Linked DNA regions of Nothobranchius furzeri. The main gene of each other region encodes a partner of the protein of the gene in region 3 in a complex. Links are inferred from orthologs where the notes say so. Each region holds a gene or a part of one and is shown on either strand. Other genes may lie near its edges.

Evidence for each region. Proteins that work in one complex are often made in the same cells at the same time.
Region 1: E3 ubiquitin-protein ligase Hakai (region 3) and mettl14 share a complex: the UniProt entries of both Homo sapiens proteins name them as parts of the WMM complex. The link is inferred for Nothobranchius furzeri from reciprocal best matches to the Homo sapiens genes CBLL1 and METTL14.
Region 2: E3 ubiquitin-protein ligase Hakai (region 3) and rbm15b share a complex: the UniProt entries of both Homo sapiens proteins name them as parts of the WMM complex. The link is inferred for Nothobranchius furzeri from reciprocal best matches to the Homo sapiens genes CBLL1 and RBM15B.
Region 4: E3 ubiquitin-protein ligase Hakai (region 3) and wtap share a complex: the UniProt entries of both Homo sapiens proteins name them as parts of the WMM complex. The link is inferred for Nothobranchius furzeri from reciprocal best matches to the Homo sapiens genes CBLL1 and WTAP.

Annotation. Positions count from the first base shown.
Region 1 is NC_091746.1:78,155,298-78,159,427, reverse strand, and holds the start of mettl14 (N(6)-adenosine-methyltransferase non-catalytic subunit METTL14), read right to left. Parts: upstream 2,829-4,130; 5' UTR 2,696-2,828; coding exon 2,630-2,695; intron 2,319-2,629; coding exon 2,230-2,318; intron 1-2,229. Other genes in the region: prss12 (neurotrypsin), read left to right, coding at 3,869-4,130. UniProt on the Homo sapiens protein: The METTL3-METTL14 heterodimer forms a N6-methyltransferase complex that methylates adenosine residues at the N(6) position of some mRNAs and regulates the circadian clock, differentiation of embryonic stem cells and cortical neurogenesis.
Region 2 is NC_091743.1:78,035,155-78,039,459, reverse strand, and holds the start of rbm15b (putative RNA-binding protein 15B), read left to right. Parts: upstream 1-1,477; 5' UTR 1,478-1,713; coding exon 1,714-4,194; 3' UTR 4,195-4,305. UniProt on the Homo sapiens protein: RNA-binding protein that acts as a key regulator of N6-methyladenosine (m6A) methylation of RNAs, thereby regulating different processes, such as alternative splicing of mRNAs and X chromosome inactivation mediated by Xist RNA.
Region 3 is NC_091741.1:57,567,292-57,571,610, reverse strand, and holds the start of E3 ubiquitin-protein ligase Hakai, read left to right. Parts: upstream 1-1,484; 5' UTR 1,485-1,603; coding exon 1,604-1,622; intron 1,623-1,661; exon of another isoform or gene 1,662-1,832; intron 1,833-2,364; coding exon 2,365-2,553; intron 2,554-3,694; coding exon 3,695-3,801; intron 3,802-4,043; coding exon 4,044-4,127; intron 4,128-4,204; coding exon 4,205-4,278; intron 4,279-4,319. UniProt on the Homo sapiens protein: E3 ubiquitin-protein ligase that mediates ubiquitination of several tyrosine-phosphorylated Src substrates, including CDH1, CTTN and DOK1. Targets CDH1 for endocytosis and degradation.
Region 4 is NC_091742.1:5,865,018-5,869,362, reverse strand, and holds the start of wtap (pre-mRNA-splicing regulator WTAP), read right to left. Parts: upstream 2,829-4,345; 5' UTR 2,642-2,828; intron 2,105-2,641; 5' UTR 2,097-2,104; coding exon 2,067-2,096; intron 1,961-2,066; coding exon 1,905-1,960; intron 1,830-1,904; coding exon 1,771-1,829; intron 1,611-1,770; coding exon 1,483-1,610; intron 1-1,482. Other genes in the region: sod2 (superoxide dismutase [Mn], mitochondrial), read left to right, coding at 3,593-3,723, 4,159-4,345. UniProt on the Homo sapiens protein: Associated component of the WMM complex, a complex that mediates N6-methyladenosine (m6A) methylation of RNAs, a modification that plays a role in the efficiency of mRNA splicing and RNA processing.

The DNA of each region.
Region 1 (4,130 bases), on a different chromosome or scaffold from region 3:
TACAATTTCCTTTGATTTCATTTTAAATAAATATTTAGAGTACCCAGGTAGCACATCAACAATGCAATTTAATGGTTTTCTTAAAGTAGGAACGTTTAACCTGTGGCCAGAGCGCTCTCCTTCCTTCTGCTCTGCGTAAACCTGAACTGGTCACCTACTTGTGCATAATCAAATGTCTATAGGGGAAAAGATGGATGTGGGGGGCTGGGGGGTGCGCAGCTAAATAAGTTTGGGAACCGCTGGTCTAGCTCAAAGATGTTACACAGATTGTTCTTGAAAATAGCTTGAATTGCTGTTAAGTGTTGGATGTCTTGCTTTTGGATTCATCCAGTGTGATGATTACAGCTGTGGAGATGCTTTTTAAAAATAATACAGTTTTATCTCACCTACTCAGTTACCACAGTTCATATGAAGCAGGTTTTCACTTCTGCGAAGTATTTGCTGAATCTTACCTCCCCTGTTGTTTTGGTTTTGAATCCAAAGAATGTACTTTATAGGTCATACCTTGAGCTGTATCTAATTTTATGGTTCAAACTGGAGGAAATAACACAATAAGTTTTAATTTTTGGACATGTGTAATGTACTCAGGTCATTCACAAATTTGTTATCATTAGTAATTCATAAATCAGACTGTATCATTTGCATGTTAGTTAACCCCTGGTTAATGATTAAGTTGTGTTTCCTAAAGTGTTACTGATTTGACTTTTAATGTCTTGTAATATTGTTTATTAGTGTCCTGATATTCATAATCACCACCACCATTCTCTACTTTTGACTACTGTGTTTAATGTTACATTCATAATATGTTCTTATAAAACAGTAAGTCAATGTAACACAAACCATTTGATGGCATTGTTGAAATAAAAACAAATAACATGCCCACACTTTAATGGCTATATTCCTGTAACCACAAGGTCTTTTTCATTACTTTTGGTCTCATTATAAAAGGAATTCTTGTGGGATTTGTTCAGATGTGTGAATATTAGAATAAGTGTTGCTGATGAAGTGTAAATAGACAAGGAACATTGTAAAAAAGTTGATTATTTTTCTTTTGCTTATTTTGCCCGAAATGTTTGATTTCAGGATGAATACCTCTTTTGAAAAATGCATCAGTAGTTTTAAATTTCACTGAATTCATAATTTTACATCTTGACATTAGCTGTACAAAGTCTGAGTTTGATAAAGTGAAGAACAACAATTTTCAGAGGTTTATAATATATGCACACTTAAAGCGAGGTCTCAAATGCCACAGTGTGCCACTTGTAAAAGGAATAGTTGAACGCTCCTTCTACGGAATAGGTTTTTTTTTTGGTCCAACTTTAAAATCAGCTTTATTAACATTCAGTGACAAATAAAGTTTGTCGAAACCTCCCCGCCTCTACCCGAGTACACCTGTGCGCTGGTGGACTGGGCTGGAACCACAGTTTATTCAGGAGTTTCTCCAGACCCCGCCGTTGGATTATTGAAGCCGTTCAGGTTAGTTAGGAAACCTCTGAGCCAATAGAATCGCTTGCTTTTGATTTTTTAGGCTAGATTTTTGGGATTTGGCATCAGATGGATGCAAGCTAAAACAGCCACGAATCAGCTTTGTGTGATGTTGTGAAGATGGATTACACAAAGGGATTGGATTGTTTTTACCATAACATGGATTATGACCATGAATCAACAAAGGTAAGACTGTATTTACGCTTTTCACGTCATGAAATGAGCTGTGGTTTGTTAGCTGCTGGTTCTGTGAATTTTGCATGTAGAGTGCATAAATATTGTTGGAAAGAGAAGTCTGGGCTTTAATTTAAACAGTGGATTCTGTGGATAGGATATTGGATTGTCGCTGCTGTGTGTTTTTCTCTAAATGTGTATTTAGTGTATTTTTACGTCCTTTTGATTTAACAGCTTATTGTTGAATTGGGTGTTGTTGATGAAGAAAACTTGGGTTCTGTTGTTTGGAAGATTAGTTCTTCCCGTTCTGCATGTGTGCAGTTTATACATTGGTGAATATTAAGCATGTTTTTGGAAGGACTATGTTACTGTGAATCATGCGCGAACTCCTTACTGGATTGAGGTTGAGTTTCAATTTACAACTGATGACATCCACAGACAACATCCCCCACACTTTTGAAAAGTTTGCAACGCGCCTGCAAACACGTTGCATTTACGTATTTCATTCAAACGCAGCCCTTTTCTAGCTCAGACGATCCCGCCCTGTCTGTGAGGAGGAACAACCCTTACCTGCTTGCTTCTCTTGTCTCCTCTATCTCTTTGAGCTCATCTTTGCTGTGAAGGACAGCCCCGATACTGTCTGCGCTCTCAGCTCCCAGCTGCGCATTTAGAGAAACACACACAGAGAAACCAACATCAGCAAACATTTGACTGGAACTTTGTGAACGCCTTTTTTGCATTGCTGCTACATTTCATTCGACAAATAAAGTCGGCTCTAGCTTGGGTTACACTTATTTACATTTGCTATGAAGGTGTTTTCTTTTAGCTCGGTGGAAGGCGAGTATTTAATACATCAGCCAAGTTAGGGACGGTGAAGTTATGGTGAGCATTTAGCACCCTGCAGCTCCGTTATGACCAAAGCGACGTTAGCGGTTAGCCACTTTCTAACTGTTAACTATGGTGTACTTGCCTGTTGAGCCAAGATCTGCCGTCTCAGTTTTTGTTTCTCGCGGATTTCTTGAAGCCTACTGTTCATGTTCTCCTCTGTGACAGTAGATCTGTATTTATATTAAACGTCGGGTCGTTGCTAAATACGGATTACGTTCACTTCTGAAAGCAGCAAGCTCCTAGCTAAACATTAGCTAAATCGACATAGCCGCTGAAATGATGATGGGTGCGCTCGTTATGAACACCGGTACAAGTAATCACAGTAGATGTGTGTCTTTAACAAATATAGGGCGATGCATTGAAACTGCAAAGTTTACATATAAAACACTCAAATAACGTGTAATTTGAAGACATGTATAAAATTCTACAAAGAAAATTAAATAAACCGATTTGAGGGCTATAACTCCGGTTACCCAGAGAAGGTTCGGTGTACGCTGTTTACAAGATTTAACAAGCATTTGAACCTACAGTCACTCGATGATGATGAAAGAGCCTTGTCCGACGCATACGTTTGGCGTCAGCAAATTTATCACCCAATCACAGAGAACAGTTGGAAAAGGCAATCCAACAAACAGCTATATTCGACTGTTTCCCGTTCTCTCACAGCTCATGATACCACAATAAAAAGAAGGGAATGTGTTATTGGCATTTAAATACAGTATCAATAGTCGAGTAGCTTTAAAAGCTTACGGACAATGAAATTAGTGCAAGAAGCAAATTCACAGCTTTGTAGCCGTACTACATAAAAATATAGCATTGAAATAATTTTAGCAGTAAGCATATAATGATTAAATAACAACAATAACAATACAGATAACTAATAGCCTAATTTTAATTTAATTTCTCCTTTTAGCATTTTAACAGCAGTGCAAAAACATTTCAAACGTTTTTTCTCAAAGCAAAATTTCCTAACCTGACTGAGGGGAAATGGGAAATATAGTCTATCTAAAATGTAATTAGCCAACACATATATTAAATTGGTTTAGGGGAATTTTTGTTATATTTATTACGGCTCCGCGTAGAGTTCGTTTTAGTTCGTGACATTTGGCTGGATCTTGGATCAATCAGTAATTTGGTTTCCTCCTCTCGGAAGGGCTGCCAGCGCATCAGCCTACGCAAAAAGAGTTTCATCGATCTGCGTCGTTTTTCTTCTCGGTTCTCTCCCCTCCCGGGGAAAAGCGCCGGGGCTGCCTGCATGTCTGGAAACAGCTGATGAGTGAAACGGATTGCCACCGTTATCAGCGGCTCACGGTCGCAGAACATGAAGGCGACGTTTCTCGCTTCAGTAGCCGCTCTTCTGACCGCAAGCGGCTGTTTTTCCAGCAGCGTCCCTTCATTCATCCCCTCGTCCACCGAATGCGCCCGGAGCCAGGGGAGAGACGGCTCCTACCGGGGAGCTATTGATGTCACCGAGTCCGGCAGCCGGTGTATGAACTGGACCGAGGTGGCCGGGTTCCGTGAGCGCTATCCGAGCAGGGGGATAGGAGAACACAACCACTGCCGCAACCCGGACGGCAGGATTC
Region 2 (4,305 bases), on a different chromosome or scaffold from region 3:
TACTCTGAACCCATCTGAGTCCTGTAGCAGCTTCGCCAACAGGCGATAAAATACAGAGTCGTGTTTCTGAGGGACTCCTCATCCGTCTGATGGATCAAACACCATCATGAATGTGGGACTTGTGTTTCTGTTAAAACTGTAAATTCTACTTTTGCATTAAAATGTGAAAACTCAACTGAGATGTTTGTTTGGGTTGGTTTGACTCCGGGCCGATACCGATCTAGGATGAAACCCTGATCCTCATGGGGATTGGCTAATGTGGATTAACTGTTAGTGGTTTTATTTGTTAGGACACTGCATTCACCGACAGATTAGAAAGTTTAGGATTGGTTTGGAACAGTAGATGGATTTCGGGTACACCTCTGTGAGAACCGAGCTTTGCCCAGAACCCTGGTGCTTGTATGGATCGTCCCGAGAGGCTGGAGGTCCGGCTCAGACCTGATCCCTGGTCCTTCCTGTCATTCTGCCCAGAAGAGGAGAAATCTAGAATTCCATCCAATCTTAATCCAAGATTAACTTTGGATTTCCTCAGAACATCTTTTTAGACCAAATCTAGATGTTAGTAACAGATTTATTCTTCATCTAACCAGGAAGGTCCCATTGAGATGAAAAACCTCATTTCCAAGGCAGTCCTGGCCCAGAGGCAGCAGAAGTTGTTTCAGCTCCACAGACATGTTATGCACTAGATTACAGAAGGCAGTTACAACACAGAATCCTCTCAAGGGTTCTCAGTCTGGTTTTAAATGTAGTCAAGGAGAAAAAAAACTAATTCCCAGTTTTCCTGCAGCCTGTTCCATGCAGAAGGAGCAGAGTGAACAAAAGACCTTTAGCCCAGATTGGTGCGAGCAAACAGAACACAAAGTAACAGCTGATCGTCTTCTTCCAGACTGAGGACTTACACTTCTTGAGATTAAGTTACAGATGTAGGTGGGTAGTAATCCAAGCATTGCTTTATAAATGAAGGTGTACCAATGTTCCAACCTCCTGGTGGATAAAGAAGACTGTCCCACTGGACACTGGAGTGGTCCTCAGTAATAAACCTCAGAGGCATGATGACCACATCAATCTCACAAATCCATTGTTAATCTGAATTAATCCATCTACGTCTAATTCATTTTGTGGCAAAAATATTTTCCTTCTCTGAGAAATTCCTTTAAACCAAAAGAACGCCGCCTAACGTCCTGTGGGTGATACCACCACTCTGTCTCATCCCTTGAGTTAGGAACATTTTTCTACTGTTAAGAGGTCAGAGTTAAAAAAAACGTCTCTGGAAATGTTTTGGTCCCAGGAATATTCCATCTAAACCAATTTAACAAGAGATTTGCGCTGGATTGGGACTTCTGGATTCTAGATCAGGACTAAATGATGTGGGCATATTCTCCATCATTTCAATAATAAACTTATTTATGTAAACAAATAAAGATTTAAACGTGAAGCGACGGTAACGCGCGACGTGCTTGCGTCATCGAGTTCTCCGTCCTCGGGGAACGCGCACATTCCTATTGTCCAAGATGGCGGCGCTGCTGAAGCTCCACTGATGCAGTTTTTGTTTTTAAACCTTTTCTGGTTTTTATCCGTAAATGAGCCGAACGTCAGCGGATGCCGTGGAACCGCGTTTCCCCCTGAGCCCGTCCTCCGTAGCCTCGCTCCCGCTAACGCTCCCGGAATCCCGCTGCGGACACCGAAAAGTTTCCGATCCGTCCTCCAGAGAAAATGAAGCGGCAGGCCGGCAGGGAGAGCAGTCCGTCCAGGGCCATCGCTAAACGGACACGGGAGCGGGAGAGCAGCCGCAGAGAGGAGCTGCCCCCGCCGCCGCTGGCGCTTTTACTGGCGGAGAGCAGGAGCTACCGCCGCCGGAGCCGGGAACGCGAGAAGCCGCGGCTCAGGGAGGAGAGGGCGGCCGCCCTGGAGCTCCACCACCGACATGAGCTCAGCCTCCTCGGCCGTCCACCGCTCCGCACCTCGGCAGCAGAGCTCCCCGCCCCCCGGCCGGGCACGCTGGAGTATAAAACGCTGCTCATCAGTAACCTGGGCTCGCAGGTGTCGGACGAGGACGTGGAGGACTCGCTGTTTCACGAATTTAAAAAGTTCGGGGATGTGAGCGTGAAGCTGTCGCACACACCGGAGCTTGGCCGGATCGCCTACGTTAACTTCAGACACCCGGAGGATGCCAAGGAGGCCAGGCACGCCAAATCCTCCAGGTTGGTTCTGGGAGAGCGCCAGCTGAAGATAGAGCCCATGTACGTACGGAGGCGGAGTGTCACCCCACCGGACGTGGGTTATTTACCCCTCCACGCCCCCTATCCGTACAGGCAGCGCTCCCTGTCCCCCCCTGTCCCCGGGGTCAGCAACCTCCGGGAACTGAGAGCCAGACACTACGCCCTGGAGACCCTGGGTCTGAGCAGAGACCGGGACCGGCTGCTGGACTACTATGGGATGCTGGATGAGAGGGGGCGGCCCTACGGCCTGCCCCCCATGCCAGTGGTGGAGGACTTGAAGCCGGAGGATGACCAGCGGGCGACCAGTAACCTGTTCATCGGTAACCTGGATGGGAACGTGACGGAAGCTGAGCTCCGGAGGGGGTTTGATAAATATGGCATCATTGAGGAAGTGGTGATCAAACGCCCGGCACGTGGACAGGGCGGGGCTTATGCGTTTGTGAAGTTTCAGAACCTGGACATGGCCCACCGTGCCAAAGTGGCCATGCAGGGCCGGCTGATGGGTGGGAACCCCATAAAGATCGGTTACGGCAAAGCCAACCCCACCACCCGCCTCTGGGTGGGGGGGCTGGGGCCCGGGAACCCACTGGCTGCCCTGGCTCGAGAGTTTGATCGCTTTGGCAGCATACGGAACATTGACTACGTGAAGGGGGACAGCTTTGCCTACATCCAGTACGAGAGTCTGGATGCAGCTCAGGCCGCCTGCACCCAGATGAGGGGCTTCCCTCTGGGGGGCCCAGAGCACCGGCTCAGGGTGGACTTTGCTAAGGTGGAGGAGAGCCCGTCGCGCCCATTTCCTCCTGGTTACCAGACGCCCGTTACACTCCCTTCCCACTATGACCTTCTTGGAGAGGCATACAGCCGCCATCGCAGCCTTGAACAGGAGCTACGGGGGGCCAGGGAGCGTTCTCCCCCTGCTCACAGCCTGCTCTCCCTGAGGGAGAGGGCCCTGCTGGAGAGAGACTTTCCCAGCAGCCCCACCCGCAGCTTGGAGAGGAGGTCCGGAGGGGTGGAGGCGTTTGGGAGGAGTGGGAGAGCAGCAAGGAGTCGTAGCAAGAGCAGGGAACGTTGGCTGAAGGAGAGGGAGGAGAGGAGGAACAGGAGGAGGAGCAGTAGTCTGTCAGCAGAAAGGCAGACGGAGGAGAAGGAGGTGGGGAGGTCAAGGGTTCGTGGTGTTGGTGGAGCCGTCTCTCCTGAAGCGAGTCCGGACCGAGCTCGGGTCCGAGCTCCCGACTCCACCACAGAACCCCGAGACCATTCCCCTGACAACGGAGGAGCTGGAAGGCAGTCCACCAACGAAGAAGAGCCTCCCTCCAGCCACCATCACAGCAAGAGGGCCTCCAGCGAACAGCTGAACAACCACCACCATCGGAACAGTGAGGCCAATGCCTCGGCTTCTCCTGCAGCCCACACAGACGCCTCCTCACCCCCCGGCACGCTGTTGGAGTTTGCCCAGAGCATGCTCTCCAGGATGTGGAGAGGCTTGTTCACCCTGAAGAACAGCAGCTTTCCTACAGACCTGTTCCTGCTGGAGGGGGGCGTGTCCTTCTTCAACACTGTGATGAAGGACAGCCTGAAGCAGCCGAGCAAGAATCAGCTGAGCCAGTTAAAGATCGCTCAGCGGCTGCGCATGGACCAGGCCCGGCTCGACGAGGTTTCGCGCCGCATCAAGGTGGGCCGCCCCAATGGCTTTGCCATCCTGCTGGCTCTGCAGGGCCCTGTGGACCGCCAGACCCCGGGTCTGGAGCCAGGATTGCAGGTGCGCCTGCTGCGCCACCTGGTGACGTACCTGCGGAACAAAGAGGCGGCCGGTGTGGTGAGCCTGCCCAGTGCCAAGGAGGGTGGGCCGGGCGCCATGCTCTATGCCTTCCCCCCAGGAGAGTTCTCTCAGCAGTTTCTGCAGACAGCCAAGAGGACTGTGGGTAATCTGGAGGAGGAGCACATGGTGATCGTGATCGTTAACGACACTAACTGATGTACAGAACCAACACTTCCTGGTTTGAAACCTTTTAGGATTCTGGATTCCAGCCACACTACACACGTCACTCCGCTTCTCCCTGTGAGCCGGTGGGGTTGGCGGGAGAAG
Region 3 (4,319 bases):
ATTTAGTGAAGTCAATGTAGCTACTACGTTAGGTAACACTGGCGTCGAGTAATCTTTAGACCTAAACAATTGTGCAAACAAACCCATTTGGCTAACATTCACTTCTTGGGAGAACTCGACCACAGATGTTCAACTGTAAACTCAGTAATAATTTAGCAAATGTAAACTAGTTCCTCCCTTCTTCTTATTAGCATTAGAGCTAATTAGCTGACGACAGTTGACTAGTGTAGAGCCAAAAGCAAACTTGAACAGGTCACTAACTTAGGTATAACTTCGTCGTTGGAACAGTAGAGTTAAAATGTGCAAGTTGCTTAAAAAGACTGATTATTTTAAGACAAAAACTAACCTTTGATGGAAAGTCCGCCGCTGTTGCTTCCTTTTCTGTTGGATATTTGTGGGTTTTATAGTCAAGAGCCAGCTATTAGGTCGATGTAGCTAACGTAGCTTGCCGTGGTAGCTTAGCTAACATCCGTTAGCCTGTGAGTGATTTGTTTTGAAGAAGCACGGGCTAACGTAAGCTAGCTCAACTTCGCTAACGTTAGTCAGATGTGGCTGCAAAACTGTTAAATACGCAAGGTCCATACGTTAATTTCCTCTAAAAATAAAAAGCGATACGTGTCCTTTCTGATAGACAGGGCATGGTTTGTACTCACGCATTAAGTAATTCAAACGCGGGGCTAAGTTTAACATGCAAAGCAAGAAAAACTCAGTCATAAATTTCGAATCAAAATGGCGACATTGTACGATGAGAGCGCGCGGCACACGGGGACGAGCATCAGCTTCACTGCTTCGCAAAACATCAGAGCTCACTCACATGGGGTTCAAGCATCTTAATTGTAAATTATGTAATTTCTGACTCGTTTAATTGTCTCTTACTTTTAAAAATGGTACATTAACAGCGCTTGTGGGAATTGTGCAAATGTATGCGACAAAACGACGCTCAAATTAAAACAAGATCTAAATTATGAGACAAACTCATTATGCAGTAACGCAACAAACACATGAAGTCAAAATTATCGAGACGTTATGCGATATATGTCAGAAATAAGAGATTTTAAAAACACCAGTTTAACTTGAAATTAAAGGTGATATGAATGAAGATGCATATAATCTGATTAAATTAAAAATGCCAATACCAAAATATTAGACTACTAGCTTAAATGCTGTTCTGAAAAGTTTAAAATGCATTTACTTCATTTAGAAGTGCAACAATTTTGACACTTTTACAGAGTGTTAGTTTTTTTTTATTTATGCATGCGAAGTTAACTGCTCAGTTTATACTACAAAGATCAGAAAAGTGGTTTTATTTTAATGAACGAATTACTTAATATTGTATGTTTATAAATATCATCTTTACAGAATTCAAGGGACCCCCCCCCCCCCCCCGGCCACCCACAATGCATTGCGCTCACTCGTTGGATCCGGTTGGATCATGGACCAAAGTGGTGAGCTAAACGCTAAGTAGGCCCTCTGTTGTCAAAGTTTGTTTTTGTGGCTTATTTTTTCGTTTTGCCGCCAGAGTTGCTGCTCTAGTAGTTCTTTAAATTATTACGAACAACCTTCCAGGAATCCGGCTTTGCTGTTGGAGCTTGGTGCCTCTGAAATGCTCCGTTACGGTTTAGGTTAGCTGTGGATTTGTGCTAAAGGACGTCAGTTCACCATTTAACCCTTAAGTTCTAAGTCAGTTGGAATAGTTAGTTGTAACGTTAACTGGAGGTGTGTTCGGTTCCTGTGCCGAATGTGATTAGTTTGATTTTAGGTGTAAATCCAGCGATAGCGTTGTACAGCCTACCTTACCCTGTTTTAGCGCTTAGCTAATTCTTTGGCTAACGGTTTGTAACTTCGTTTTTGTTGCTCGTCCTCAGATTATTTATTGATGTCCGAGACCTTCTTTGTGTTTAGTATTCTCACAAGTAAAGATCAGGGTAAACTGAATTTCGGTTGGATAAAAATAGCCTGGTGTTCTTTCGGAATATTTCTTAAATATGTCAACGTTTCAATCTGTCGCCTTTTATGTGCCTTCGTTTTGAGAATTTTCTCCTTTCTTTACCATAAAAAACACTTTCTTGATAAACTTACGTCACAGATAATAAGCATTATTCTTCAAACCGTTAGATTTATACTTTGATTACATGAGGGAAAGTGTTCCGACACATCAGCAGGCAGAAATGCCAAACATTAACACGCCAAAAAGTAGTTTGAACAAGAACAGAAACGTTTGCTTATTTAACTCATCAGTCGGGTACATTTCAAATAAAGATTTACATAACTTTTGGAACGCAGATGTAATATAATTGTGCTTAATGGTGTGATGCTATCAGTTTTTTGTTTTTATTTTTTGGGTTGTGCATTCGGTGTGTACAGACGGTGATCTTCAAGGGAGCGATGGTTCGGGAAGTTTGGGTGGACTGGATGTTCGCAGACGAATCCCCATCAAGCTCATTTCCAAGCAGCCCTTGAGGAATAAGCCCCAGCAGCGGATGCAGAGGCCTGGCACCAGGCCCTGCAAAAGTGAACCTGGGGAAGATGGTACGCTACCGAGCACATTAAAAAGCAAGTCACCCCCAAATCAACCTTTTTGTGTGATAAACTATATAAATTGTGCTGCAGACATGTGTAGTCAATAGTTTGGCACTTTAGTGCATTTTAGTTAAAATTTTAATTTTCTGACTAAAACTGTCAGTGTTGTGCCGTTGTCAGGTAAAAACTCTGCACTGCATTTGAATTTAAATCTGCCATCGCTATTGGCTAAGAGGTATCCTACAACGTTAGCTGGTACCATATGATGTCACAATGTCGTTGTGAGCGTGTGTGTGTGTGTGTGTGTGTGTGTGTGTGTGTGTGTGTGTGTGTGTGTGTGTGTGTGTGTATTTGTTAGCAGCTCCGCCCTCTCAGTCTGCTAGGCAACAACATTTGTTGCATTTTTCAAATCAGAAGTGGGAGTGGAGTAATACTCTGGTAGGGGGTGACTTGCTCTTTAAACTTTTAAAAAGTAAACTGATCGGGGTTATAGTCACAACATTTTCTGTAGAATTTTAATTTGGAGGTTGAATCTTTTTATGGTTCATGTTGATTCTGTGCTGCAGGAACTGCACAATTCTGGCTGGACTGTGCTCCCAGCAGAATCCACTAATCAGTCATTTGCTCCAATGCAGAGCCTTAAAAATAACTATTTAGACAGATGCTTTTAAAATAAACTGATTTATACACCTCAGTTAGTAATCATAAACATTGTTTTGTTGAACCTGACCAAAACCCTTCTTCTGAGGGTGAGACAGATTTTGCTGTATATTAACTTATAGAATTAACCATTATTCATTAGAATATACTTTATTGTCTCAATTGGGAAATTTGTCATTAGGTCAAAAAAGTTGCACTTCGGTTAGTATAACTGAAAAAAGGAAAAACTACACAGAACCATACTAATCTCCACATTACATACTACTCTTAACAGATGACCTTTGATTATGCATTGTACATAATACACATAGCACATTCCTTAAACATCGAGTACTGCACACTTACACAATCCCACAATACTGCAATTTGAAAATTTCAATCTGAAACATTTTGCCCCAGCTCTATCAGTTGACTAATTGAGTTCTAAACAACAAAATCTGCTTTTATTAATCAGGGTTTTATTGACTTTCTCTTTTCAGTTTTACAATAATACTTATTTTCTCATATTTTGTAGATAAATTCAACTTTAAGCAAGAGGAAAGGTTTGATTGTGGCACCAAAGCTGGCGATGTGTTTGCAAGCCAGCGGAGATTTCCACAACCCCTATTTTGGGACTATAAGGTACGTCAGTGTGGGTTTGCTGACATCATCTTATTATAGTGACTTTCTGTTTTATATATATATATATATATATATATATATATATATATATATATATATATATATATATATAATAAAGCTGTCCATTGACCTTGGGTTAGTGTACACTGTTGTTTTGCTTTGACTATAAAAGCTTTGTGACTGGATTTGAGTATGTCTGAGTGACAGATACCCATAATTCCACCCATTTGCTTTCCCTACAGTTACATTTAATTGGTGAACGGGATGAAGTACCAATTCATTTCTGTGACAAATGTGGCCTCCCTATTCAGCTGTATGGACGGATGGTATGTACTTTGTTCTTGCTTGCTCCCTTTGGTTGGTTTTGAATCATTTTCTGGACTGAGACTCTCCCTCTCCTCAGATCCCATGCAAACATGTTTTCTGTTACGACTGCGCTTTGCTGCATGAGAAGAAAGGAGAAAAGATGTGTCCAGGGTGAGACATGTTTGTTTTTCATTAGAATGACTTCTCAGATG
Region 4 (4,345 bases), on a different chromosome or scaffold from region 3:
GCGTGTAGCTGCACTTTTGATCCCAAACTTTGCACCGGTTCTGCCTTTGCGTCTTTGCCGGTTCCTTTCCTCCACTGCATCCAGATGACCACGTCGTGCGCCAGTAAAAAGCATTTTTCTTACAAGTAACTTACTTTTGTTCAATAAAGTTCAGGGGAAAATGGTAATTCAAAGATGTTGCACCCGTGTTACATTTACAAATAGACAGACACGCAGACAGTGTTTTTCATCGCACTGTACAGCCCTGCTCTGATATGGAAGAGCCTGGGGGAAAATCAGGACGTCAATAGCACCGACCACAGATATGTAACTAGAGAGAAAAGCAATTTTTGATCTTTGTCTGCTGCGGTTTTAGTGCTTTTTTGTGCACCGCTGCTGATACAGCGCCCCGTAGTGGTGCAATGCTGCAACTGCAGTTAAAATAACATCCATATAGCTGGGGGCAGAGTGAAATCAGGCTGGGGCGGCACAAATTAGCTGGAGGAGGCCACCAGGCAAATTTGAATGCAGGAAAAACCCTGGTACAGCTAGGGACATGAACGTTGCCAACCCACACACATCTTTTCAATTTTGTATTATCAAATGTATTGATATGGGAACATTTATCACGATAAGTCAGAAATTTCGATAACGATACATTTTCGGTTTATTGCCCAGCCCTACACGATATGCCAAAAGGCACAACTAATATGGCTTAAGCAACAAAAGTAGCAGCATCTGACTGAACCTAATCCTTATTTTTGGCTTTTAAATGAAAGAAAAGGTGTGCTGAGGTGAGCTCTGCTGCTCTTTAAGGCAGATGAGCCCCCATAAAGCCACTGAACACTCTGTACCATCAGTCTAAAGCCAACGGCTGACCTTAACTACTTGTTGGCCCAGTGTGAATGAATGTGAATGGCCATAACAGTATCCCTGTTTACGACCGGTTCTGTTGACAGAAAACAGCACGTTTGTTTATAACAGCTGCTGCTCTGCAAATGCTGCTGCTTGTTTTAAGATCCTTTTACGTCACAAACTTAGAAAAATATCATGTATGTGTAAATGACACCATGCAACATTTACTTCTATTAGTATTTTAATCTCAATCAAAGATCATATTGCACTTATAAGCAGTGTTTTATGGCTAAGAAGCTCTGATCTTGTGTAAATACATAAAACATCGACTACAGCTGCCACACTGACAGATGTTAGCACTCATTTTGATGTTTGCCATTTTAAATAAGGCATCTGTTCAAAACATCACTATAAAACATTACATTTGGTATTAATCTATTGTCATTAGTGAACGTTTGACTTCTGTGACCTAACCTAATGATAAGTAAAATTCAACATCGCCTTTTTATACAGTATTACAAAAAGGAGAGTCGACATCCATCAGAGAGAAAATAAATCAATCACCCAACAAGGAGCTTCCTACAGATCAACGGGGAGCAACATTCGACCAAAGCAAAACAGTGAATTCAGTGGCAAACAGATACGTACTGTACACTCTTGCATTTCCTGCTCCTTTGTGGCAAGTCGCATGACCAGGATGTTCTCCCTGCGAGCAGACTCTTGCTGCTGCTGCTTGAGCTTTTCCTCCGACTCCTTCAGTCCTGGAACATCGTTCGCTGAAGGGATGAGATGAAAAAACATCACAGATTAGTCCTCTTCACAGACAGCCAAAGGTTAGGCAATGCACTCATTGTAGCATTTATAGCTGACTGTTGAAACGGCTAAATAAACTAAACTCAACATGATGCTGGATTGCATTTACGAAACTGCACTTACAACACAGCTCTGCATATTTGGCCTCGAGGACCTGCACGTACGTTTCATGCTGTTTCCACCTGAAACGAGAAAAGAAGGTTTAACATTTTTAGATGAACACGTGATTTTACAGCAATCGCAGCGTGAACACCCACCTGGTACACAGCTCTTCTCTAGTCAGGGTCTTCATGTCCGACTCACTCAGGCGAACCTGTGAAAACAGAAAAACTGGTCAATGAGGCCGGCTGCTATTTGGAGACAACCAAAGGCTAAATGAACATAGTTCAAATAGGAGATGAACAGGATCAGACGCTAACCTTCTTGGGTAGAGGTTCCTCGTTGGTCATTTTGAACTCTAGAAGAAAATATGACAAGAAATCATCAGTTACTGCTGCTTAAATTGCAGGTTGAATTAACTGCATCATCTTTTCAGCTAAAGCGTTAGTTCTCCGCACGCAGTCTAGTCACGACTAGCACACAAGCTAAATTACGTGCGTTTTGGTTTCTGAAGAAAGAACACCGCATATTTTATGGCAAAGAGTTGACTCATTGGTCGATAACATAAGATTTAACATAACCAGTTGATAAGCGCTGTACAGCTAAATGTCGGGACATTGTGGCAGCTAGCAGAGCGAAGAAGCTAACCAAGGTGAACTACTGACCACTAATATTTAGCACTCCTTTGCAATGGTAAATTGAACTCATAGTTACAAAGTAACGTTTAAATATAATTTAAATTCAAATGGGTGGCACTTAATTATTTGCTCTGTTTCGGCTCCTTGTTATAACAAAATGGCGGTGAAGGAAACGACTCCCTCCCTTGCGCTCCTTTTCCTGAAACTAGCGGGCTCTTGGCTGCAGTTACCAGGCCTGACGCCACAAAAACACTCACCTGGCCCTGAATCTTCGATGTTTCTCAGAACTGTCGGCTTCAGAAATTCCTTGTGAGGATAACAATCACATAAACGGTCAAATATTCAGAGAAATGACAAGTAACGGTATCGTTTGGGCTTAGTCGCAATCATCTTTCTTTAGCTGACGGCAGTGTGGAATAGCTACGGACGAAAATGCTGCGGAGTAATACCAGAGAGCTAAAAACAGAGAGAAGACGCCTCACTCGTAAAATAATTTCTGAAACTCGAGCAGGGCCACGACACAAGGGATATTTTCAACGTTTTATTTATATAATTTACTATAGTTAATGTTTGATTATGCGTGGTACAACTTTTTAGAGTCAATCGACCAAAATAATTGATAACATCTGTCTAAATAGAATAAATAAATAAACAAAAAATGTTATTTGTTAATTAAGTTAAAATTATTCAAATATAGGTGACCTAGCAGAAACGCATATTTCTAAAATAACTGGTTCAGGCAAAACATGTTTGCTTTGAGTCATTGATTAAATTGGATGAAGACTTTTTTTTAAAAAAAAAAGAACATTTCTAAAGAGTGGGACATCTTAACAAAGTAGACAATCTTCACGTCACGATTAAAAAAGAGGGTCACGTGCCTCGTGGTCTTCTAAACATTTCTTTATTTTGATTACTCTCGTGTTTCAAAATTTCGTTAAACATTTTGACGACACAAATCCAAGTCTTACACTTGTTTACTAATTTATAATAAAAAGAAAAATAACGAGCTAAGGCCCTGAAGACCATGTGCAGCGTAATAGGGAAACGCATTTCAAAAACAAAATGACATGGTTACTCATAAAAAATGCCACAAGTTAAAGGTTTATTGACAAACACGGCAAACCAATGTTTCGACGAAGTCCAACTTTCAGCGTCCGCAACATTACAGAAATCATGCAAACGCTTCCAAACACCCCCATCGTATAATAATGATGGTGCAGTCTGTCAACTTGAAATGGCTCAGTTTCAAGGGCAGTTATTTACTAGCGCGTGCACACGGTTCTGGTTACCTGCTGAGGTCCATTCGAAACATGCTGAGCAGACTTGGGCAAATACGCAGGTAAAACGGATGTTCGCGTAACATTAGGGCATATATAAAGTTGTTGAAAACAGGCAGAGTGAGCTGTTGCGTGCTGTAATCGAGTATGATCTTCAAACATCAGGAGCTAACAGTTTGCTAGCCAGGATGCTAACTTAGTTTAGCAAGCTGTTTACATTAGTTTATGGCGCACCAAATAGTTTAGATTACTTCCGTCATTATTTTATGCCTAGGGTTGAATGCAGTTGCAAACTTAAAGTGTCAAAACGAATGCACAAAATTACACACGAGCCTATGTTAAAAGTACATTTAGTTAATGGTTTCGGCTGTGTAAATCCTGAATAAACACTAAAGTCAGTCGCTTGCAGCCATCTTGAATTGCTGTTTAGTTGTATCCGGTGATTGATGCACAATTGGATCGTGATTTATTACAATTCTCCTCTTTGTTAATTTCAGGTGCGCAGCCAGCCTCAGCCAAAGCATTAACCAGATAGCTGCATCAAGGCAGAAGCACACCCTTCCTGACCTGACCTATGATTATGGAGCCCTGGAGCCTCACATCTGTGCAGAGATAATGCAGCTGCACCACAGCAAACATCATGCTACCTATGTCAATAACCTCAATGTTACAGAGGAGAAGTAT